Coturnix japonica: one gene and its partners. The protein of the gene in region 1 interacts with the protein of each later gene in a pairwise test. Links are inferred from orthologs where the notes say so. Each region holds a gene or a part of one and is shown in the gene's direction. Other genes may lie near its edges.

Region 1 (4,284 bases):
GCTCTAATGGTGCTTATTTTTTAACACAAAACTGGAATCCCAAATGGCTTCTAAATATGGACACTTGATTTCATATTGTCTTGAGGGTCACGGTCTTCAGAATTACGTGATTAAAACAAATTCTGCAAAGAGTTAATGCTTTCTAAAGAATAATGTTGCAGGCAAAGGACTTGCTAACATTTTCTATCTGCTCTTTTCATTTTAGTACCCTCCGTGAATTTCCAGTAGGATGTTATTTATTATTATTTTTTAATGTTGTCACGGGTTACCTAGATTTACCTGTGTCAGGGGCAGCCGCCCCATAGAACCCCTGGCCCGAAAGGGAGGGGAAAAGGGGAATGGGAAAAGAAAACAGCAGCAGCAATCTAAGGAGGAAAACTTATTTTACTAAATACGATATCGGAGTACAAGATTACACAATATAATATAATATAATTGAGGCTAATAAATTGAACAAAACAGAGAGAGAGTCCCCAAAAACCGAGAGGCTTACTGTGAACTCTAGGTGACACAGCTGGAACGCTTCCCACTCTCTGAGAGAGAGAGAGCTCCAGCCTGGGAGTGAGATTATGTATGTCCTCCTCCCGTGACTTATCTCTGGCCATGAAATCCTCTGGGATACATAGTTCTCTTCTGAGAGCTGAGTATTTTGGACGTTGTTATTCTACGGAACTCGAGTATTAACCTTTTAATGATCCATACTGCACATGATGTTACGATGTGAAATACTGACAGCAACATTACAAAACCGTGACAAATTTGTTCATAAACTAATCTAAAATACTGTGGCCAGACCATTAGTCTGACTCAAAAAGTAACTGAAGCTTCTTGTTTTTTCCTGTTTGAGGCTTAGGAAGAAGAGGAAAATTAGTGAAGAAGATGAAAACTCCAAGAAGCCTAAACTGGATGAGGTCAGTTAATGTTCTGTACAAGTAATTACTTTTCTGCTCAGTAATAACTGACAAAACTGACACACTGTTGAGACAAACTCCTTCATCTCATTACAAAAGTTGCTCAGAATATTTTTCAAGTTAGTTTTAGCATCTAATGTAAATCTCCCTTCTTTATTTGTAAACCATTTCCACTTGTCCTATTGCTACCAGACCATTTAAAGTCTGTCTCCCTCATGATTATGAACTCATTTGAAGTACTGGAAAGCCATGATGAGATTTCTCCCGAGTCGTATTTTCTTAAGGCTTGGCATGCCTATCTCACTCAGCCTGTCTTCATGGGAGAGGTGCTCCAGCCTTTCCTGTGCTCAGGGCCCCAGGCCAGCACATGGCACTCCAGATGAGTAGGCCATTCCAGTGGCCTTCTGTGATGGGAGTGATGTCATGAATAGGTAAAGGGCAACTGATGTCTTCTACCTGCACTTCTGGAAAGTCTGATGTTGTCTCGTGGTGCATTCTTATTTCTAAATTGGAAAGATACAGATTTGGAAGGTGGACTGTTGGATGGATAAAGAATTTGTTGGGTACATTTGGATGTGAGGGACAGGATGTCTCAGGAGCAAAGGCAAGGAAACTATGCACTTAGAGTAGCACAGAGGGTGATGGGTTGTATTCACTGTACACATAGGCATCCATTTTAGATAATCCCTGTAAGCAGGAAGCAGAAACTCCCTAAGCAAGTGCACTCACTTTACTTTCTGACCCTTAAGAGATGGCAAGGGGCAGAAAGGAGAGAGAAGGAACGTGCTGATGGTAGATTCAATGGGTAGTGCCAGCAGGGTATCCCCTGCTTCAAGGTGCACTTCTCTCCTCCACTGCAGCTGCTCTCCTGCTTTTATTCTTCTCAGGGTTTTCTTTTTTCCACCTGCAGGCTGTGCCTGTGTGGCCAAGAGTGATACAGAGCACAGGTGGAATACAGAGCAGTTACAAGCAGGGCATGCAGGCTCTTGCTTTTTACACTTGCACAGCTAATAGTGGTGACTATGTTGAAAAATAGTGTTTTTTATCAGTATTTTCTCTGCCAAATAGCATTATTGTGCTCTTTGTATCTTTTGTATTTCCTTGGGAGTAAGTGGGAGGCATTGTTTTCATAGCGGCAGACGTACATTTGGTGTGGGACTTGAAGGAACTTGTATTTCTAGTTGGAGCTTGGTCTTACGTGTTAACTAAGAATGACAGTGCTTCTTGCTGGTTGTCAGGAGCAAGAAGGGCACTGTCAATCATTAATGTGTTTCTTTTCTACCCCTATATTTTGGAACAAATGCATTCCTCTCAAGTACATGAAGCACGTGTTTTGAAATCAGTTTAAGCTTACTGTGTAAGTCATTTACATGCAGTAGACACAGTGTGGAGATCAATGTGTTGGTTGTATTACTTGAACTCTCCTTAAGCAGCATATGTAAAAGATAATACTGCTACTATATGCAGTGCTGCCACATGCACAGTTCTGTATTGCTTGGTCACCTTACTGTAAAATGACAAGGTTGATTTCCTTCCCTTAGGAAGAATGGACTGATGAAGATGTTGTGGATTTGTGAAGCCTATTCCTGTGCTTACTGTTCTGTGGCACACTTGAACCTGCCTGTAGAAGATTCTGTAGGCTGAAGCATGAGGTATTTTTATATGGTTTTTAATTTCCTCAAAATAAAACATTTATTTGAAGGTTTAGTTGATTGTAGCTCAAGTTTTGGTTTAGCAGCGCCTTCAGATGCAACTTAAGAACAGGGTTACAGCACAGCAGTACATTATGTCCATTCTGGCGTTTAGCAAAGTGGTTAAATACAAGTGCAATGCAGATCTGCTAATAAATTCTGAAGTACTTGAGAGCAAGATCTGCTGCTGTGCTCTGCCCAGGCTTGTCACTGAAACTGCTACGAGAACATAACCTTGCTCATAACATCTCGTTGTGTTTGAGAAGCTCTTCCCAAGTGTACTAAGGGGCTGCAGGCAAATTACTTATCATACTAGAAGTTATGTTCATGGTTTTGTGACTTGTCTCCTGCTCTGTTTCCTCTTCCTGTAGCTTTGCTCTCAGACCAGCTTGCTGTGACAAACCCTGTTTGGGGCACCCTAGGAGAATAATTTAAAAGATCTTCCGGAGTAGTTAGTTACATTGTTTCTAAATTTAGGCGGAACTATTTCCTTTTAATATGTTGCTTCAGAACACGTGCAGCTCAGAATACATTGAGCTGAATGTAGCTCTGGGTTTTTCCTAGCTTTGTGTTCATCATAGTTTGTTTATTTTTTTTTTTTATTTTTTAAATTCATATAAACAGATGCAAATCTGTTCATCAGAGCTGTGTTGTGTTTTTTTTCTTTGTTAAGCTGCGTTATGCTGCTAATACCCAGCCAAGCACATTTAAAAGACTTCCCACTCAAGGCAGAATGATATTTCATTCTTTGGTAACAGTGCCAAAGCTGTTCTTCTTTCCTGACTGTGCAGCCTATCATAGCTTCACCTCAGAGGGCCTGACCATTAACACACTACCTAGCAACTAAAGGAAAAGTGATTTAACTGAAACACCTTTTATTGTGCCATCCTTACTATGTTCTGAGCTGGCTTGTACCCTGCTAGCAGAGCATTTAGAAAAAGGAAAAAGTTACAAACTGGTCCTGTGACTTCTGTGTTCTGATTAATCACCTTACTGCGTTACATAAGCAGGAAAGCCTAATAATGAAGGAAACTTATTTTAAGTAAGTTATTCCTTAACTTTTCCTCTGACATGCAATTTAAAATTTGGACTTGAGCAGACCAACAGACCAGCCAGGTATTTTATGGAAGGGGATCTAAAAAAAGAACTCTTTAATACCATATTCTTGCTAACAGATTGATATCATTATTAGTCTGTAGCAAGAGTGTGCTTTTATCTCTGCCTTTTACTTCTACCTATAGTGTATATCCACACAATCACTAAGGTTGGAAAAGATCTCTAAGATCATCTGGTCCCAGTTACGCATTTCTGAACTACAGGGATGTGGTTCAGGGATGGGGATTCCCAGTGCTTGCCTAGGCAGCCATGACCCCTCGTCCTGACAAAACCTTTTCCTGACATCCAGCCCTAACCTTCCCTGACACAACCTGACGCAGTCACTAGTTATGTGGGATAAGAGGCTGATTCCCACCTTGCTACAGCCTCTTTTCAGGGAGTTGTGGGAAGAAGTGTGGTCTCCCCTGCTGCACCTCCTCCAGGCTAAATGTTCCTAGTTTCTTCAACTACTCCATGTAAGGCTTGGTGCTCTTGCCCCTTACCAGAGTTGTTGCCTTTTCTTGGGCACATTCATTGCTTCTGTGTCCTTCTTTAGTGAGGGGCCCAAAAATGAGGGCTGAGTATAG
Region 2 (4,105 bases), on another chromosome or scaffold:
ATGGGTGCTCTGAGGGTGGTGGGTGGCCATTGACCCCTCCCCAGCAGGGCACAGAGCTGGGGCTCTTCCTTCACCCCCCCTTAACTCACACCAAAACCAGTAGAGCAGAATATTTCTGCAGCTCCTGCTCAGCTCTTTGCCACCAACATTTGGCAGCAGCTCGGTGCTTCTGGCAGCACCCAAACCCACGAGCTCCATGCTGTGCCCTGGGGGGGACCTGCCCCCATACACAGCCCCATTTGTGGTCTCTCCTATGGGGTAGGGGGCAGAAGTGCATTCTGTTCAAAACCACAGCCCCTGTGCATCCATGAGGTCGAGCAGTGCTCACGGGGGGTCCACTTTGAGCCCCAAACTCAACAGCCCCCACCATGTGGCTGGATGGGGACTGGGACCGCATAAGCTTGGGACCAAGAGCTGCCAGCCCTGAGCAACCCCAATGGGGAGAGGATGTCAGGGATGGGGCTGAGGGTGCTGGCACAGCGCTGGTGAAGCCCTTGGCTCCATCCCCACGTGCTGCCCGCCGCACCCTGCCCTGTGCCGGCGTGTGGGAACAGGCTGAGAGCGAAACTGCAGCGCAACGCCGAGCTCAGATCCTAATCGGGGCCGCCAGCGCTGCTGGGCAGAACTCGAATCAAAATGAGACTGACAAAAAAGAAGGAATAATAATCCCAATTCTTCCAGTACAGCGTAAAGGGAGAGAAAAGAGCCCCGGTGGGATGAGCGGAGAGGGTGGGGGACATGGGGATGGGTGGTGGAGAAGCCTTAATGGGGATCCAGTGGGGTTTGTGGGTGTGGAGCTGCCTTGGGTTTGGGGATGTCCAATGATGGTTCAATGGGGGGGTTGGGGTTGAGTACTTGCAAGTGCCAGGGCAATTCCCCCTGAGCAGGCAGGGTGGAGGAGTTGGGAATGCCCCAATCCCAATCCTGGCCCTGATCCCTGCAGCAGTGCTGGGGTAACGTGCTGCTCCTCCTGCCTCGATTTCCCCACCAGTGGGAATAAATACCAGCCCTTCAAGCCCTTGCAATCACCGACAAGTTAATCATCATATAAAAATGACAGCGATGGGATTTTTGGGGAGGAGACCATTTTTACAGCCAGGTTTATTCCCCGTGCTGTTTCTCTAAGGGTGGTTGGGATGGGGGCACTGGGTGCTGCCGCTTTCCTGCTTCACCCCAATGTGACGACCCCACTGCTCCCTGTTCTGAGCACTCCTGGCAGATGGGGAAGGGTTCCCCCATTGGTCCATGGTCCCCCATTGATCTGGGATCTCCATTGATTCCTGGTCTCCCATTTATTTGGGGTCCCCCATTGATCCGGTTTCCCCCATTAACTCAGGGTCCCCCATTGATCTGGGGATCCCATTGACTGATCCCAAGTCTTCCAAGTATTTGGGGTTTCCCATTGATTTCGGGATCCCACTGATTCCAGGTCTCCCGTGGGTCTGGGTATCCCATTGATCCAGGCTCTCCCACTGGTTCAGGCTCCCCCACTGATCTGGAGTCCCCACTGATTCTAGGTCTCCCATTCATTTGGGGTTTCCCATTGATCCGGGGTCCCCAGTTGATCTTCCCTCCTCCATTGTTTCAGAGTCTCCCACTGACATAGGATGTCCCATTGATCCAGACTTCTCCATTGATCCAGTGGGACATCCCATTGACACAGGGGGGGCTCACCATGAACTCCCTGAACACATCCTCTCCCTCCCGGCACCCACCTGATCCAGGGCAGGGTGGGTGCCACCCGCTCACCCCTTCCCCATCACCCTGTGCCTCGGGGCATGATGACTCACGGCAATTTGCTTTTTAAGGGCGGGCTCTGCGGGGAGGAAGCAGAGGAGGAGGAGGCCGCTCCTTCAGCCTCGTTGGCTCCTCCTGCTCTTGCTCGGGGCTCCGACGCTCAGCCAAAAGCGAATCGGGGCGGTGAAGCTCAGCAGAGGCTCCGACGGCTCCCGGCCCCACTCCTCGTCTCATCCTGCTCCTCATCCGCCCTCAGCCATGGCAAGAAACCACCAAGTGCAGAAAGCCAAGCTGGCCGAGCAGGCTGAGCGCTATGAGGACATGGCGGACTTCATGAAGGCGGTGGTGGAGCATGGAGACGAGCTGTCCAACGAGGAGCGCAACCTCCTCTCCGTCGCCTATAAGAACGTGGTGGGCTGCCAGCGCTCGGCGTGGAGGGTCATCTCCAGCATCGAGCACAAAACCGAGGAGGGAGACGACAAAGCGCAGCTGGTGAATGAATACAGGGAGAAGGTGGAAGAGGAGCTGAAGGGCGTCTGCAACGTGGTGCTGGGCTTGCTGGAGAAGCACCTCATCAAGAAGGCCGGAGATGCAGAGAGCAAAGTGTTCTACCTGAAGATGAAGGGAGACTATTACCGATACCTGGCTGAGGTGGCCTCCGGCAACGACCGCAAGGAGACGATCGACAGCGCCCAGAAGGCGTACCAAGAGGCCATGGACATCAGCAAAAAGGAGATGCAGCCCACGAACCCCATCCGCCTGGGGCTGGCCCTCAACTTCTCCGTCTTCCACTACGAGATCGCCAACGCCCCCGAGCAGGCCATCTCGCTGGCCAAGACCACCTTCGACGAGGCCATGGGGGACCTGCACACGCTCAGCGAAGACTCCTACAAGGACAGCACCCTCATCATGCAGCTGCTCAGGGACAACCTGACGCTATGGACAGCCGAGTGCGCGGGTGAAGACGGCGGCGAGGCTGGCGAAGAGCCCAAGAACTGAACGGCCCCCAATGCAGCTGGGGTCCATCCCCCACCTCCTTCCTCCTCCCCTCCCTCCCAGACTCCCCCCCCTTTCCCCTTCCCCTTCCCGAAGCCCTTCGGTGTCTTTTCCTTTTGTTTTGTTCCTTTTTTAAGGAGTGGGGAAGGTATTTCGCCCCCCCACCCTTACCCCCCCTCCAGTTCTGGGAGTGGGGTCCATATGTTTGCCCTTTGGCAGGGCCTCCCCTTTCCTTCTCCCCCCCCCCATGTTCTTGTCATGCTCCCCTCACCCCTTTAACACTTTGTTTGGGGGATACCCCAGCGTAGCTTAGGGGGGGCCCTAGCCCTCTGTCTTGGGGGGCTAGAGCCGTGCCGCTGGTCCCTTGGGGGCAATGGGAGGAGGTGATGGGACGGGATGGGGAGAAAGGGGAGGGGGGGGGTTGATGTGCCCCCCACCCGGATGGAGGATTGCGAATTGCCGAAGCCTCTGTGTGGCTCCAATAAACCATCTCGTGCACGTCTGCCTCTGTGGTCGCCTCATCTCTCCTGTCGTGCACAAGCCCAGGCAGCTCCTGCAGCTCCCACAGCCGGTCCCATTGCGTGCCACGCCATGCTGGGGAGCACTCGGGGCCTCCAAAGTGCAGGTCTGGCTGCCTGCAGCCCCTCCCAGCCCCGCCATGGGGTGTGGGGGTACTCAGCCAGCCCCAGACCTCAGGGACGGGTCTCAGAATGGGCTTTCTAGGTGGGTTTTCCATAGGGAGAGTATGTCCCAGGTCTCCAGCCCTGCAATTGTATGTCCCCATTCCCATGGTGTCTCCATCCCTTTGGTTTTCCCATTCTTGTACTGTCCTCATCCCCAAGATGTTCCTATGGTGTCCCCACCCCCATAGTATTTCCATCCCCGTAGGGTTTCCATCCCCATGGTGTCCCCATTCCATAGTGTCCCCATCCTCATAGTGTCCCTATCCTCATTATGTTTCCACCCTTATGGTCTTCCCATCCCTATGATGTCCCCATCCCTACAATGTCCCCATCCCCATCTTGATGTCCCCACCTCCATGATATCTCCATCCCCATGGTGTCCCCACCCAAACCACGCAACCCACAGTGTCCCAAACCCCATTACTGGGGCTCCGTGCAGACAGGGGGATGTTTCAGCTCTTCCCCTCCAGCACTGACACGGAGCTGTCACAGGGGAGGTGACAGCATCCCACCGAGGTGAGGACATCCCCATGGAGGTGTGGATGTGCCGGCGCTGGAGAAAGCTCAGCACTTCTGGCCCTGGCTCTCAGCCACAGCGAAGGGTGCAGCTCTGGGAGCGCGAGTTTCAACACGAACAGTTAATTACACTGAAATCCAGTCCTGGCAGCCTGGGCCGTGAGCTCATCAGA
Region 3 (4,489 bases), on another chromosome or scaffold:
TTCTGCTGAGTTTTCTTTTCTGACATTGAGTGTCGTTTGGTTCAGAAAGTTACTTTTTTGAGTAAGCATTTCAGTTTACTACATGGGTTTTTGCCAGTGCACTCTAAACAACAGAGGATATTTATCTAGTATATTTGGCACACTGTTTCTTGTAGTAAGTGCTCTGTCGGGCTTATTCTGAGTTCCCACTCCTGTCAATTTCAGAGTGGAGTATTTATTATTTTGATTGCAACTGGAAGCAAAGCAGATCTTCAGTTCTGAAACTTTCAAGCTTCTCTTTATGTACAAAGCAATATGGTATTTGGACAAGTAAAAAAGCTGCTTATGAATTTTCTTGTTTCTTGTATTTGCTTCTGTACATTGATTTAGTGCCAGAGAAGGTGAGATAAATCAGAATGTTTTTAGGTCATGAAGTTGCAAAGTTTCCTTTCGAACTGCTTGAGGAAATCACAAATTATCTACTGCTGAAGAGAGTGATTTAAACTAGAAAGGACATGTCTTTTGGCAGCATCAGCTGAAACTGAGGACACTTGAGTGTTCTTTATGGAGCAGCTTATGGGACTCTAAGCAAATACGTTTTGTAAAAACAAACAGCAATGAATGTATTATGCAATGCTAGAAATACGTGTCAGTCTGTTTATGGAGCAGCAGTATAAATTCCCATGTACATTGTTCTTCTTGGGTCGCCTCGCAGTGTGATGGTTCGTGTCAGAATTATGATATATTTGTGCTACAGTTTATATTTGCACAGGAGAATGCAATGGAACAGAACTGTCTGTAATTATTATTTGAAGGGTGAATCAACTTCCTTTGAAACATACACTGCTTTTCTGTAGGCAGAGCTCATTGTTGTCCTCAGCAACATTTTTATTAATGCCATACAGTGATACTAAGTTGAGGACAAGTGGCAAAACAGTGTCTGGCAATCCTTACTGCTTTCAGTGTTCTGTCCTGAAGAACAGAGATAGTCTAGAGGAATGTAGAGCTCACCATGTCAGCCTGATGTCCTTTCTGAGTCTCCATGCTTCTGGATTTTGATGTTGGCACTTGGAGGCATTTTTATTTGTTTGGAAAACGGGGGAAAAGAGCAACCCATAAAGTAAGTTTGTATCAAGCTCTTTTGGAAATACTTTGAGTCTTGTACTTAGTACTTCTAGTACTTCATTACAACTTGAAAACAGTCAGTTGCATAATATACAAAGATAAGTGGGATGGGCCTGTGAAGAACTACACGTTTAGAACCTCGGCTGGGTTTACCTGTGCTTCCATCTGGAGCAAAAGAGATGCATGCTGTCATTTGCTTGGGAGTCGTGGAAAGTCCCACAGAGTTACTGGGGGTGAGCTAATGATGCTCACAAATTCTGACTGGAATATGCATGATAAGTTTTTATTTAGCAGGAGTGGTTATGATGAGGGATTCTCTATCTGTGGTGGTGCTGTTTTCTGTTCATGACAACTTTTAGCACCTGCTGTGTTAGTAATCCTGAAGGAGTTCTCTCTAGGCAATATATCGTGCAAAAGAATTCTTTGTCATGTATGTGTTTTAGATTAAAGCATTCTAAACCAGTCTTTTAATTACTTCAATTAAGACGTTTTTAGGCTGCTTGTTTTAGCTTCCAGTTAGAGTGAATGGACGTACTAGTATAAATAGTTGATGTGTCCTTTTGTTTTCAGCATGGCTTTTTGTCACTTTGAATTTTACTACAAAACAGCTCCATCTTAAGCCTTTACTTGATATGCAGCTGTTGCCAGTTGAGCAGCGTATCTTGCAGAGTTTGGAAAGATTAGAGAAGTAACTTTTATGCAGTGTATTTACACAGCATATTCTTATTGTTACCTTGATTGTCTTAGCAGTGCAACTGTACTTATGGGCTTTCTAACAGACATGATTTATCTTTCTCTTTTATAGAAAGTAGAAAAATAGAGAAGACTAATTAGTTTACTAGCTTTTCTATCTTCTGTAATGTTCACCAGCTACTGAGTTGGCTGATGTGTATTTTCTTATCCTAAGTGACATAGTTAACAAAAGCGGTCTGTTTCATATAGCACTGTCCTCTAAAGTATGACCTCATTCATGTTTAGGCTTACTGCTAATAATTGTTCTTAATGTTTCAGATTACACCTGAAATGTTACCAAACTAAGCTGGAATGGAATTCTCAGCATTTACCGAATGATACTATGTAGTTGTATCTTACATTGTATCCGGATTGTGCTCCTTCAGTTGGTCCAATGCCTTTTATGTTTCTTGTAACATTGTTGCTAGAGAATGGAAATAGTTTAGGATATTGTAGCTATTCCAGTTGCGCAGTAGTATCTCTTTGTATCAGAAAACCCAAACCTTAGAAACAATATGCAAGTGCAATAGAAACAGGCTTTTCTCTTTGTTGAACTGAAGGGAGGTTGTAGTGAGCTGGGGGTTGGCCTCTTCTCTCGTGTAATCGATGATAGAACTAGAGGGAATGGTTTTAAGCTGCGCCAGGGGAGATTCAGGCTGGACATTAGGAAGTATTATTTCTTGGAAAGGGTAGTCAGGCATTGGAATGCACTGCCCAGGGAGGTGGTGGAGTCACCGACCATGGGAGTGTTCAAGAAACGTCTGGATGTTGTGTTGATGAATGTGATCTAGCTGGGAAGTATTGGTGATGGTTGGACTGGATGATCTTCCAAGTCTTTTCCAACTTGATAATTCTGTGATTCTGTGAACAGGGTTACCCTAACTCATGTAATTACCTGGAAAGACAGAAGAAGGTTATCATAGTACCGTTCCAGTGTATTTTATTGTCACTTTATAACTGTTTTAAGCATTGAAACTTAAGCCTGCTTATCGTGACTGTACAAATGTATTGGCTTTAGAAATCTGAAATGAATTCTTTAAGAAATTCCATCAAGTGTTCATATGAATCCACTCTTGCTACATCCTAGGATTTAATGTATTTACATTTGTCTGGTTTATTTCAGGAATTCGCAGCGCTTACAAAAGAGCTAAATGTATGCAGGGAACAGCTGCTTGAAAGGGAAGAAGAAATTGCTGAACTGAAAGCTGAAAGAAATAATACAAGGGTTAGTTCCTTGTCTTCTCTCCAAGATCGTTGGTTTTCTAGCATCCAATGAAATGAAGGGGGGGAAAAAAAAGGATATTGAGTTAGAAAAGCTCAATGCTTTCTTACCTTGCTATTTGCACAGGGGTAATTCTGGGGGTGCAAATGTATGTTAAGAAGGCCTGGAAGCTTATGTATGGCTCCAAATATTGCTGTGCAGAATCAGGAAAAAGGCATTTAAGATCACAGTACTATCTGTTATTCAACTCTCTTCTAGTTACAGATTTGAAAATATATCGTGCTCAAGATTAGAGGAGTTGAGTGGGCAAGCTGTAGTGGTCTTTTCCATCAGATTACACAGATTCTGCCAGCAGAAAGTTAAGGGTATTTCATTTGTATGTCCTTCAGACAAGCATGCTGTTCTTCAGATTAGAGGAAGAACTGGAAAGGGTCAGTTAAGTAGAAACCTGATTTTAAAACTACATAGAGTATAGGGAATTCGTTAGCTCTGATATCACTTCTAGTATGGGTGAAATGAATGAAATGTTAATAAAATGCATCCTTAGACTTGGTATAATTAATGGTTGCTTGAAATTTAGACGTCAAAATGCCATGTTTTTGGAGGCACAGTTTTCTGTAACTCTGTAGAATGGGAATAAAAATTGTTGCTTTTTTTTTTCTTTTTTTGTAGCTGTTACTGGAACATTTGGAGTGTCTCGTCTCCAGGCATGAGCGGTCTCTCAGAATGACTGTCGTGAAGAGACAAGCTCAGTCTCCAGCAGGAGTTTCTAGTGAAGTAGAAGTTCTCAAAGCACTAAAATCTTTATTTGAACACCATAAAGCCCTTGATGAAAAGGTAATAACTATGCTGCTTCATGTTTTCCTTCTTAGTGTAAACCATACAGTTGTATATACTTGTTATATTAAAGTGGAGACCGTACTAAAATACTGTCAATAACTGTGCTCCCAAGATAAGGTGTTATATTGCAGTAAGCTTATTCCATCATTCTGTCAAATGTGCTAATATTGCATCCAAACCATGCTTGGTTTATATATTTGTTGGAGCAAAGCATGTTTGTTTACCTGTATAATATCAGGATTTAGTCTTTTAATTGTGTAATACAACAAGTGGACTAGAGAGAACAGGAGGAAAGAAATCTGCTTACACTGAGCTATTAAATAAAGCTGATTTAAAGGAGCTCCGCCCTTCAGCTGTACCTGATGTTAGAAGCAGGCAATGCAAATGGTGAAACTTATTGTGAATTTTGCTGCCAACTCATAGTTTGCTGAACTACTTTTGTGAATTTGTATATAAAGTCTTGCAGGTTATTTTCAGGAGATATATATCCTTTCTTCCTTGTAGAGAATGAGGAAAAGCACACATGCTTTGTACCTTACAAAAGGGTGGGTAAATTCTGGATTTGCTTAATTCTTGCCTATGTGTACAGGT
Region 4 (4,929 bases), on another chromosome or scaffold:
CCTTTTGTTTGACATGAAGAGTAACAGCCATGTTGGCAGTACTAAGAGCATGGAGACAGATAGAAACGTCCCACCAATAGGGGGTTATTGAAAAATCCTCTGTTGGAGCTCCAGAGAGGGCTGCCAGATCTGAGGAGGACACAGAAGCTCAGTGTCATTGACTCTTGTGAATAACTCAAGATATCCTCACCTATCAGCCCTTGGAATTATAAAACCGTAGAGTCATTAAGGTTGGGAAAGACAACTAAGAGCATCTAGTACAATCATCAACCAACACCACCACACCACGGTTACGTCTCATCTCTATATTTCTTCAACACCTCCAGAGATGGTGATTCCACCACTTCCCAGGGCACAGCTTTGCCACGTGTCATCTACAGGCTGCAGACTCTTCTTCTCATGAAATAGTTCATGTGTACACAAGGATTTTCCTTTCCATGAAGGCCCAGGCCCTCCCTTGCAGCACATGCTGAGATGGAACATTCTTACTGGAGGCAGTGGGCAGCAGTCTGCCCTCCAGTTTGTTTTGCTTTGCACCTGAGCTTGCTTCATTACTCACACAGTTTCCCAGAATCCGGGGGAGAACAAACGGTTAGAAATTTCAGTGGCGTAGGAGAAGACAAAAACCGAAGAGGGGGGAGGCAGAGGTGGGTGGGGAAGGTTCAATCAAACCGAAAACAATATTGACTCTATTTTGAGAGCTGTGAGCAAACTCGGGATCCATCGCCATATGCTCAAGCTACAGGTGGCAAGCACAGCAAAGGGAGGCGAAGAGAAACGGCTGCATTGTTTAGGGAGCACAACCCCAGACACAAAGAGCTGCCCAGGGGCTTTCCCCCACCACAGATATTCACTTTGAAGTTGTAGGTTTTTCATGTTCCCCCAGCATCCCCAGCTCTGGGAATTGATGCACCACACCACTCCCTTCTGCGCCTCAACTCTGTCTGTCGCTTTCGTCATTGCAAAAACAGTCACAGATGCTACTGTTCACCCCCACAAATTCACATTTGAAGGCCCACAGACACAATTAACCACCTCTTAGTACTCATCCAATCCCTGTACAATATGTCCCTGCCATCAAACACATAGTCCCTTCACTAAGGTGTACTCGCCTGCTGACTTTATTCAACCCCTCAAGACTTGAATAACTCAATGTTTCACCATAGTATTTTGCTGCAACTGTTAGTTACATCTCACTTCAAGCTGTAAATGTGTTGCATGGCAATGTTTTGCACAGGTATCCTGCTAACACACCGTGTTCTCATCTATGAGAGCGTCCCACTTTTGGCTGGGATTATTTTCTTCCCAGCAGCTTGTGCTTTGGATTTAGGATGAGAATAGCGTTGATAACACATGTATGTTTTAGTTGTAGCGCTGCAGAGAGCCAAGGACACTTCAGCTTCCCACACTGCTCTGCCAGCAAAGGGCTGGAGCTCCACGCTGCCTCTACTGGCTGTTGGGCTGAGGTGTTCAAGACCAGGTTGGACGGGGCCCTGTGCAACCTGATCTAGTAAATGTGTATGTTTGGTGGCCCTGCCAGGCAGGGGGGTTGGAACTACATGATCCTTGAGGTCCCTTCCAACCCGGGTCATTCTGTGATACTGTGTGATTCTGTGAACCTCCCCCTTCTTGGGACCGCCGGAAGCCGCCATTATGGGCGGGACCGGAGCCGTAGCCGGGGCGGCGGGATGGTGCCGGTGCTGCCGGGGCTTTACGTGGGCGGCGCGGAGTCGTGCTCGTCCTCGAAGGCGCTGGAGGCGGCCGGGGTGATGGCGGTGCTGACGGTGGACGCGGAGGAGCCGCCTCCGGTGCCGGGGTTGCAGTCCTTGTACATCCGGGCGCTGGACGAGCCCGGCGCCGACCTGCTGAGCCGCCTGGATGAGTGCGCTGCCTTCATCGGCGCGGCGCGGGCGGGCGGCGGGGCCGTCCTCGTGCGGTGGTGAGGGTCGGGGTTGGTGGTGCGGTGTGGTGTGTTGGGGCCGGCCGCCCCGAGCTGCTCTAAGCCATCGCTTCGTCTCCGCCTTTCGCCCGCAGCCAGGCCGGAGTGAGCCGCAGCGTGGCCGTGGTGACCGCGTACCTGATGAAGACCCAGGGGCTCGGCTGGGAGGAGGCCTACGCCGCCGTCAGGGCCGCTAAACCCGACGCTGAGTGAGTGCCCCTAACCCGGCACCCCCAGCCGGACGGGCCCGGTCTCAGCTTGCTCTCCTCTCCCGTACCGCAGGGTGAACCCGGGCTTCCAGAGGCAGCTGAAGCTATACGAGGCCATGGGCTGTGTCGTGGACAGCAGCAGTGCCCTGTACAAGCAGCATCGCCTGCAGGTGCTCACGGAGAGGTTCTCCGGTGAGTGGGGCAGCTTGGGGATGCCTTGTCCAAAAGCCACACCGTGTTACTGAGCCCTGAGCTTGGGATGAGGCAGGATGCCCAGGGAGGTGGTGGGTGCCCCGTCCTTAGAGATGTTCGAGGTCAGAATGGAGCTGGTATGAGCAATGTGATGGAGCTGCAGATGTCCCTGTACACTGCAGGGGGTAGGGACTGGATGTCCTTCAAAGGCCCCTTCCAGCTCAGACGATTCTGTGAGTCCTACTGCTTGCTCCTGAGCAGGGTACTAAGTGCTCACATGCAGATGTGCCCATGGCAGCCATGCGGTCTGCTTCATGCTGCATTGGACAGCACCAGGCGCCCACTTTCTGATGTGCAGCTGCTTTAAATTCTGACAGTTCCCAGTCTTAAGTTATATGCCGTGATCCATGACCTCTGAGCCCTGCTGCTGTGGCTTGTAGCTGTATTCAACTGGCTGTGGATCAGATAGACCCCTTGTGTCTGGTGTGCTGCATGAGGACAGCATGGGACATCAGTGCCTTTATCAGTCTGACTTACAACTCTGTCCCCTCTGCAGATCTTCAAGACTTACCCCAAGAAGTCTTTGCTGTTGATCCAACCAACACACACCAGACTCCAAACACAGAAGTTCTCTATAGATGCAGGAAATGCAGGTACTGAACCTTTTGTATTTCCCACAAAATGTCACTTTGAAATGATCTTGAGAGGAAAATAACCTGTGTCAATCAGAGGCCGTGTCGTTATTTCTGGAACAGGGATAAGATCTTGTGTAAGTTTCCCTACAACGCATGTCACAGCAATTAAACAAGCACAAATACATGATGAAATACAAAACTCAAAGTTGTGCAGCACTCGTGCACCCTAACTTGCCACATTACGCAGGCGGGTGTAGTTTTGCTTGAATACATGATACTGCTTGCTCTGCAGTCATATATTGTAGCATACAGTGGTAAAGCAGAGCCCAGGGCTATGCAGATTGTAAGATTTGTTAAGATGCAGCCCTAAATGGAGTCAGTGCCTGCCTATGGAAAGATAAGGTCCTTGTCCCTGTGCTCTCTAAGCTTCACCAATAAGTGTTTCACCCTTTTTCCCCCTCTTGTCACGGAGAACAGGCGCGCTTTGTTCCGTAGCTCCAGCATTTTGTCCCACATGGAAGGAAGTGGACCAACAGCCTTTGCTCACAAGAGAATAACGGAGTCTATGCATCTTCGTGGCAGTGGCCCTGCTAAGTGCACCTCTTACTTCATTGAGCCTGTGCAGTGGATGGAGCCAGCACTGCTAGGAGTAACAGAAGGACAGGTGAATGCATTTTTTGGATATCTTAGCTGAGGTAAAACAAACTGTTGCTGTTCCTTGATGCGAAGGCCCCCACGCAACATCCTAGGTCTCCCAGCCTCTCCTGCATCAGCTTTGCAGCTTATGAACAGGTTCTCAAATGTTAGAATATCCCTGTATAAGGAAGTGAGCTGGTGATCTTGTTGGATTGAGTATGCTAGGAAGGATATTTGACAGGTTTTGGTTGTTTTTAGTATATTGGATTATGAGACATATAAAAATCCATTTTGGTCTTATGCTGACCAAGGCTTTCTGATGTCTGAGACTGGCAAGTGTTCTGGAACCACACCAGGTCTGAGCAGCTGCATTTCCATGTCTTCCCTTCTGCTAGCACAGCTGCCTGTCACACACTGGGGCATTGGCAAGCTCCAGCTGTGCCTATACAGCTGTTGTTTTTTGGTGTTTTTCTTTGTCCTGTTTTTCAGACTGTTTAACTTCTGTGAAATGCTACAAGTGCTGGCTTTAGTGCAGGTTGCTGTAGCTTAATGTACCATAGAATACATCTGCATGTATCTTACAATGGATTATTTGTTTTTCTTGCAGCTTCTGTGTCCCAAATGCACATCTAAGCTGGGTTCCTTTAGCTGGTGGGGTGAGCAGTGTTCTTGTGGCCACTGGGTGACCCCTGCCTTCCAGATACACAAAAGTCGAGTAGATGAAGCGAGAACTCTGTCAGTTGGTAACTTCCCCGCTGCCAAAACCTGAACTCAGAGCCTCTTTCAATGGATCTCTGAATGACCACAGACAAATTCCAGCTACCCTGGGTTTGCCAGGACAGAGCTTGAGACTTCCATCCCTTTGTAAGCAGAGGAATTACTTGAGCACCTGATCTATTATTGCTTTCAGTATATCTGAAATACAGGATGTATACATTCATATATATACGCATATTTAAATATAACATAAATGCTTGTATATAAGGACAGTAAAGCACATCCTTTAAAGATGTGTTAAACAGTGGTCAAAGATGTACAAGAATGCCTGAAGATGATGTTTACAGCAACAGACTGAATAAAATTGTTATTTACAAATTCTAATCCTTATTTACAAAGAAAAATATGCTATCGTGATAGTTTTAAGTTGTGGACAACAGTACTGTCTGCCTTCTGCTAGGGAAGTTTAGGTGGTATACAGGGCAGGGAAATATTGTAAGGTTCAGTGAAGGGCCATAACATGCCCTTGTTGGACTAGTAACACTGAAAAGCAAGATTCTTTTAAAACTTTAGCGTAAGAGAAGTATAAATATCTATCTCA
Region 5 (4,982 bases), on another chromosome or scaffold:
CATAGAAGCCATTTCTGTTGGCTCTAAATGGGCACGACACCCAAACACAACAGCCCTGCAGCAGTCAGGTCTGCAGGTCACAGCAGTCTATGGGTCCCATGTTAATCATTGAGCTCCAGGTCGTACTCAGGGTACAGCTGCTTCGTAGTAACCCCTCGGATAACAGCTAGAAAAGAAAGAAATTCCATTGCTTTCATTAAGAAGAGAACAAATAGGTCAGGAAAGACTTGTGCCTTCCTCCCAGTAGACTGTATGTATCCCACAGAACCACCCACAGCCAAGGAACCAAAGATTTCCAGCTGTGCCCCCACTTGGTTTTGTTAAGGAAGCTGAACACTGAGGATTCTTTGAAACAAGCTTTGCCTTTAAGGCATCAATATCTCTTTATATAACAAGATTTGCTTCACCAAGAGCTTCTTCAATAGTTTTCTTACCCAGTTTGCCCAGCAGCATCTGCCCAGCATCTTTAATTTCATTATACTCATGGAGCAGAGAGATGTGCTTCTCCAATTCCTCCACATTGTACCCTCTGTAACAAAGCCACACAACAAAACCACTGCGGAACAAAGCAATATCTGAGGTGTGCAGAGCCAGCCTGGTCAAACCCATCATTGTTTAGAGCAATGATTTTGGGTTGGATAGCAGGAAAAACGCCTTTCTCAGAGTGGTGGGGCATTGTACAGCACAGGGATGGAGGAGCCCCTATCACTGCAGGTGTTCTAGAGCCATGGGGACGTGGAACAGAGGGACGTGGAATAGAGGGATGTGGAATAGAGGGACGTGGAATAGAGGGACGTGGAATAGAGGGACGTGGAATAGAGGGACGTGGAATAGAGGGACGTGGAATAGAGGGACGTGGAATAGAGGGACGTGGCAGTGGGCACAGGGTGGGGATCAGAGCTCTTTATCAGCCTTCATGTCTCTATGATTAACCCCCACCACCTCATTCAAACCAAGTGTCCATGGCCTCACACAGACCAAGGGAAACGCTCATCCAGGCAGCTGGGCAGCGGCCTCAGCTTGAGATCTCAGCTTATATACATCAGCAGCTCTGTTAGCACAACGTGTGCTGCCATCAGCTATAGAAACACACCCGTTACTTCCCAATGTACATCAGCAGGGGAGCTCAGAGCCTGACCAACACAGCACTGGGGAAACAACGGGGAAGGAGCTCCCTGCTGCCGTGCATGGATCCCATAACCCTTAGGATGGCCGCGGTACCGGGGCTGTACCGGGACAATAACGGGGCCGTAACGGGGCTGTAACGGGGCCGTACTCGGACAGCAGCTCCGCGATCTCCCGGTCCAGAGCTCGCTCCTTCTCTTTCAGTTCTTCGATACTATCGCACGATGCTCCGCCCGTTGTGCGGGATGGGGCCGGGCGCTGCGGGGACACGGCGCGTCATGGCGGTTATTGAACGGCACCGAGAGGAGCCGGGGGAACGGGACGGGATGGGACGGGATGGGCGGCTCACCGGGGATCTGAAACCGGCACCACCGCTCCGCCGGGAACCGCCGAGAGCCCTGAAACAGCGCGGGGAGCCCCGAGTCAGCACATAGAACCGAACCGAACAGAACCGACCCGTTCCGCTCCTACCTGCGCTGCGGGGGCGGCGCGTTGCGCCCCGAACCGGGACCGCTCTGCTCCGCCAGGGCCGCGGCCTGCACCGGCAGCACGGCACGATGGGAACCGGAACGCGGGGCTGCGATCATCCGCCGTGGGCGGGCACTGAGCGGGGCGGGACCGGCCGCCATTCACGGCCCAGACCGGGCGGAGGGGCCCGGCCGAGCCCAGGCCGCGGGGTGGGGCGGGTGTCGGGGCGGGTGTCGGGGCGGAGCTCTGCCCGAGCACAGCGCCGCTCCACCCGGCGGCTGACGTGGCCCGGGAGCGGGGCGGACATGGCGGACGGCAGCAGGCAGAGCAAGTTGGCGGCGGCCAAGAAGAAGGTGAGGGCGGGGGGTTGTGCTGGGCCGTGTTGTGCTGTGTGGGGCCGTGCTGTGCTATGTGGGGCCGTGTTGTGCTGTGTGGGGCCGTGTTGTGCTATGTGGGGCCGTGTTGTGCTGTGTGGGGCCGTGTTGTGCTGTGTGGGGCCGTGTTGTGCTGTGTGGGGCCGTGTTGTGCTATGTGGGGCCGTGTTGTGCCGTGTTGTGCCGTGCCCGTAGCGTTGCGGTGAGGCCCGGCCCGGTCCCGCAGCTCCTTGTCGCCCCGGTGGGGCCGGGCCTGTGTTGCTGCACTGCTGCGTTCTGTGTGTGCCGCTCTTTCCCGTTCGGGTTTCCTCTCCATCTCCCTCTTTTCTTCTCCTTTTTCCCTCCTTTCTTTTCCCCTTTCTCTTCCCTTTTTACCTTCTCACAGCTCGGCCCGCTCCGTCCCATCGCGATGCCCTCCCGTGTCAAAGTCAAACGAATGGGAAAGTGCCCCGGAGCAGCTCGGGCTCCATTTTGAAATCCTGCCGAGGATCCTTTTCGTTCCGGTGCTTTTCACCTTGACGTTTAAGCTCAGCCCCGCGTTCCATGGGCGCTCACAGCCCCGAGCTGCGGCCATTTGTGCTGCTCTGAGCTTCTCCTGGGCACAACGGCCTCCAATTGAGCATCCATCGCAGTGTGCTCATCCCCGCAGTGCTGGCAGTTTAGGGGGAAGTTCTTCACTAGGAGAGTGGTGAGGCCCTGGAACAGGCTGCCCAGGGAGGTTGTGGATGCCCCGTCCTTGGAGGTGTTCAAGGCCAGGTTGGACGGGGCCCTGGGCAACCTGATCTAGTAAATGTGTATGTTTGGTGGCCCTGCCAGGCAGGGGGTTGGAACTACATGATCCTTGAGGTCCCTTCCAACCCGGGTCATTCTGTGATTCTGTGCCTGTATCAGTGTGTTACCTGCAGGGCTGTCGTTCTCCTAAAGCTCTTTCAACATTCTTGTTCCATCTTATTATCAGACTCCACTTTTCCAGTTTGCATCCCATGTTATCGTTCTTTTTCCCTCGTTGCTGTTGGTTACAGATTTACAAACGTTGCTTCTTGCAGCATCAAGTTGTTTCCTGGGCACTTCCTTAGTTGGACAGCACTGACAGCTCTCGGTCTGTCACAAACCCATCACTCTCATTCTCCCTTTTGGAGCCTTTGAACTATTTTTAACGTATATCCATCTTTAAGGCCGGTTTCTCTTGTCCTTACAGCTCAGCTGACTCCTTACCCACTGGTTATGTTGTCATTTTCTTGTTGCCATTCCCTTCACAGAGGACATCTTCCATTTGGACTTCACATTAATCTTTTCTTTCCCCGCAGCTGAAGGAGTATCAGCAGAAGAACAGCCCTGGAGCGACTGCGGGAGCCAAGAAGAAACGAAAGAGTAAAGAAGGAAGTCGGCCTGAGACTCCCACAAACGACGGCCGACAGTCTCCAGAGAACGTGAGCGTCCCCCCCTTCCTCCCACGTATCCCCTCTGCCTCCAGCTTTGGTTTCCCAAACAGCACAACTGCAGCTGGGGGAGGGTTAAACAGTGTAATGTGAGCGGCTGAGGAGCCCCTGTTAGCAGCCTGTGAGTCAGGGTGTGTGCTGGAGCAGTGCTGGAGCGTTCAGAGCTGTAACGCAACCCTGGATGCACCCCGAGCTGCCTCTCCTCGGGGGCTGGGCGATGCCCGTTTCTTTGGCTGCCTTTGATGGACGTTTTTCTCTCTGTCCTTTTCTGAGCCGTTTCTCTTTTCCCCTTCTCTTTCGCCTCCTTTAGATTCAGAACATTCTGAAGGTGCTGGTGTCAGACCTTAACCGCTCCAATGGGGTAGCCATACCCTCATTGGACAGAAGGAAGGTGAGGCAGTGCTCCGTGTCCCTCTCACTGACTCGCTGTCCCCTCTGCATGCTTAACTTATGTTTTACACTGTGAATTCAGATGGAGCCTTGTTCTGGCATGTCTGCTGTTTTTATTAACACGGGGCTGTTTGTTAACATGCGTTTCCATCGCTTGTAAGTGCTTGTTTCCTCCTGTTTTCTGTCAAAAAATGCAAATATGTCACCCATGTCCAGTGCACGTCCCTCAGACAGCCGAGCTGGAAGGCAGAAAGGAGCAAACAGAGTTTGGGGTGAGGCAGTAAACCAAGTTAACTGCTGAGAGACGCTGTGTTAGGGAGGAGTAGTGCTTTATTCATGTGTATTTCTCCTGGTCTGTGTTGTTTTATTCACTTCAGTGCTGTGCTCCTGAAGGGCGAGTTTCTGCTCATGCCTGCCCTGAGCAAGCCTTTAGTTATTCCAGCCGCCCCATTTTATGACAGGTGATGAAACCTGCACAGGTGATGTACAGTCTGGCAAGTACCACAGTTCTAAATGTGCTTAGGCAGGAAGTCGGGTATTTCAAGTACTGCATTTACAGGCTTGAGTGTCTTCCCTCACTCCTGGGGGAGGAAGGGCAGGAAGGAGTCTGCTGAGCAATGGAAGTGTGTTCAGGTGCTAACTGTGCTGACAGGAGGACTCCTGTGAGCTCTTCATTATTTCATATATATTTATTATAAACAAACCTTATTTCATTACTTACTTCAAAACTGTTCACTGTGGAGGCAGAAGGAAGGCATCCTTCTGGTCGTCTCATTGACTTTTGCATCTTGAAGTGTTAAGTGAAAAGAATGTTCCAATCAGAACAAATGCAGGCCGTGTTTTTGAGATGTCCATGCGATGTTCCAAGTTTATGAGAGCTTGGACAAACAGAGGCCAAGTAACCTGTACGTGAAAGAAGCAAGGGAGTTCCTGACTTTCCTTGGAGCCCCTAAAATGTGTCATTCCTTGAGAGCACACATGTCTGTCCTCCAGAAAAACAATGGAGGCAGTTCCATTCGTTCCCCTCTGCAGTTTTCCAGCTCATTACTCTCATTAAATCCATCTTCTCTACTGCTGTAACCCCGTGGCTGCTTGATTCATGAATGAAGTAAAGCAGGTAAATAGGGAATGCCCAGAGAGTTCTTATTTCACGCAGACTGCCAAGAATGAAGTGACTGAAATAAAA

What was found.
Region 2: the proteins of CCNH (region 1) and SFN interact in binary tests that used the Homo sapiens proteins (3 or more experiments, as listed by UniProt). The two-hybrid records come from large-scale screens. The link is inferred for Coturnix japonica from reciprocal best matches to the Homo sapiens genes CCNH and SFN.
Region 3: the proteins of CCNH (region 1) and PPFIA1 interact in binary tests that used the Homo sapiens proteins (3 or more experiments, as listed by UniProt). The link is inferred for Coturnix japonica from reciprocal best matches to the Homo sapiens genes CCNH and PPFIA1.
Region 4: the proteins of CCNH (region 1) and DUSP12 interact in binary tests that used the Homo sapiens proteins (3 or more experiments, as listed by UniProt). The two-hybrid records come from large-scale screens. The link is inferred for Coturnix japonica from reciprocal best matches to the Homo sapiens genes CCNH and DUSP12.
Region 5: the proteins of CCNH (region 1) and GOLGA2 interact in binary tests that used the Homo sapiens proteins (3 or more experiments, as listed by UniProt). The link is inferred for Coturnix japonica from reciprocal best matches to the Homo sapiens genes CCNH and GOLGA2.

The regions. Positions count from the first base shown.
Region 1 is NC_029547.1:54,313,483-54,317,766, forward strand, and holds the end of CCNH (cyclin-H), read left to right. Parts: exon of another isoform or gene 1-74; intron 75-847; coding exon 848-911; intron 912-2,452; coding exon 2,453-2,488; 3' UTR 2,489-3,244; downstream 3,245-4,284. UniProt on the Homo sapiens protein: Regulates CDK7, the catalytic subunit of the CDK-activating kinase (CAK) enzymatic complex. CAK activates the cyclin-associated kinases CDK1, CDK2, CDK4 and CDK6 by threonine phosphorylation.
Region 2 is NC_029538.1:1,604,760-1,608,864, forward strand, and holds SFN (14-3-3 protein sigma), read left to right. Parts: upstream 1-1,842; 5' UTR 1,843-1,995; coding exon 1,996-2,736; 3' UTR 2,737-3,235; downstream 3,236-4,105. UniProt on the Homo sapiens protein: Adapter protein implicated in the regulation of a large spectrum of both general and specialized signaling pathways. Binds to a large number of partners, usually by recognition of a phosphoserine or phosphothreonine motif.
Region 3 is NC_029520.1:6,956,348-6,960,836, reverse strand, and holds part of PPFIA1 (liprin-alpha-1), read left to right. Parts: intron 1-2,959; coding exon 2,960-3,061; intron 3,062-3,730; coding exon 3,731-3,895; intron 3,896-4,489. UniProt on the Homo sapiens protein: May regulate the disassembly of focal adhesions. May localize receptor-like tyrosine phosphatases type 2A at specific sites on the plasma membrane, possibly regulating their interaction with the extracellular environment and their association with substrates.
Region 4 is NC_029516.1:70,998,618-71,003,546, forward strand, and holds DUSP12 (dual specificity protein phosphatase 12), read left to right. Parts: upstream 1-1,632; 5' UTR 1,633-1,688; coding exon 1,689-1,939; intron 1,940-2,034; coding exon 2,035-2,148; intron 2,149-2,221; coding exon 2,222-2,340; intron 2,341-2,896; coding exon 2,897-2,993; intron 2,994-3,452; coding exon 3,453-3,639; intron 3,640-4,218; coding exon 4,219-4,380; 3' UTR 4,381-4,712; downstream 4,713-4,929. UniProt on the Homo sapiens protein: Dual specificity phosphatase; can dephosphorylate both phosphotyrosine and phosphoserine or phosphothreonine residues. Can dephosphorylate glucokinase (in vitro).
Region 5 is NC_029532.1:3,735,220-3,740,201, forward strand, and holds the start of GOLGA2 (golgin subfamily A member 2), read left to right. Parts: upstream 1-1,593; 5' UTR 1,594-1,682; coding exon 1,683-1,946; intron 1,947-3,274; coding exon 3,275-3,397; intron 3,398-3,716; coding exon 3,717-3,797; intron 3,798-4,982. Other genes in the region: DNA repair protein SWI5 homolog, read right to left, coding at 102-166, 435-529, 1,233-1,339, 1,394-1,405. UniProt on the Homo sapiens protein: Peripheral membrane component of the cis-Golgi stack that acts as a membrane skeleton that maintains the structure of the Golgi apparatus, and as a vesicle thether that facilitates vesicle fusion to the Golgi membrane.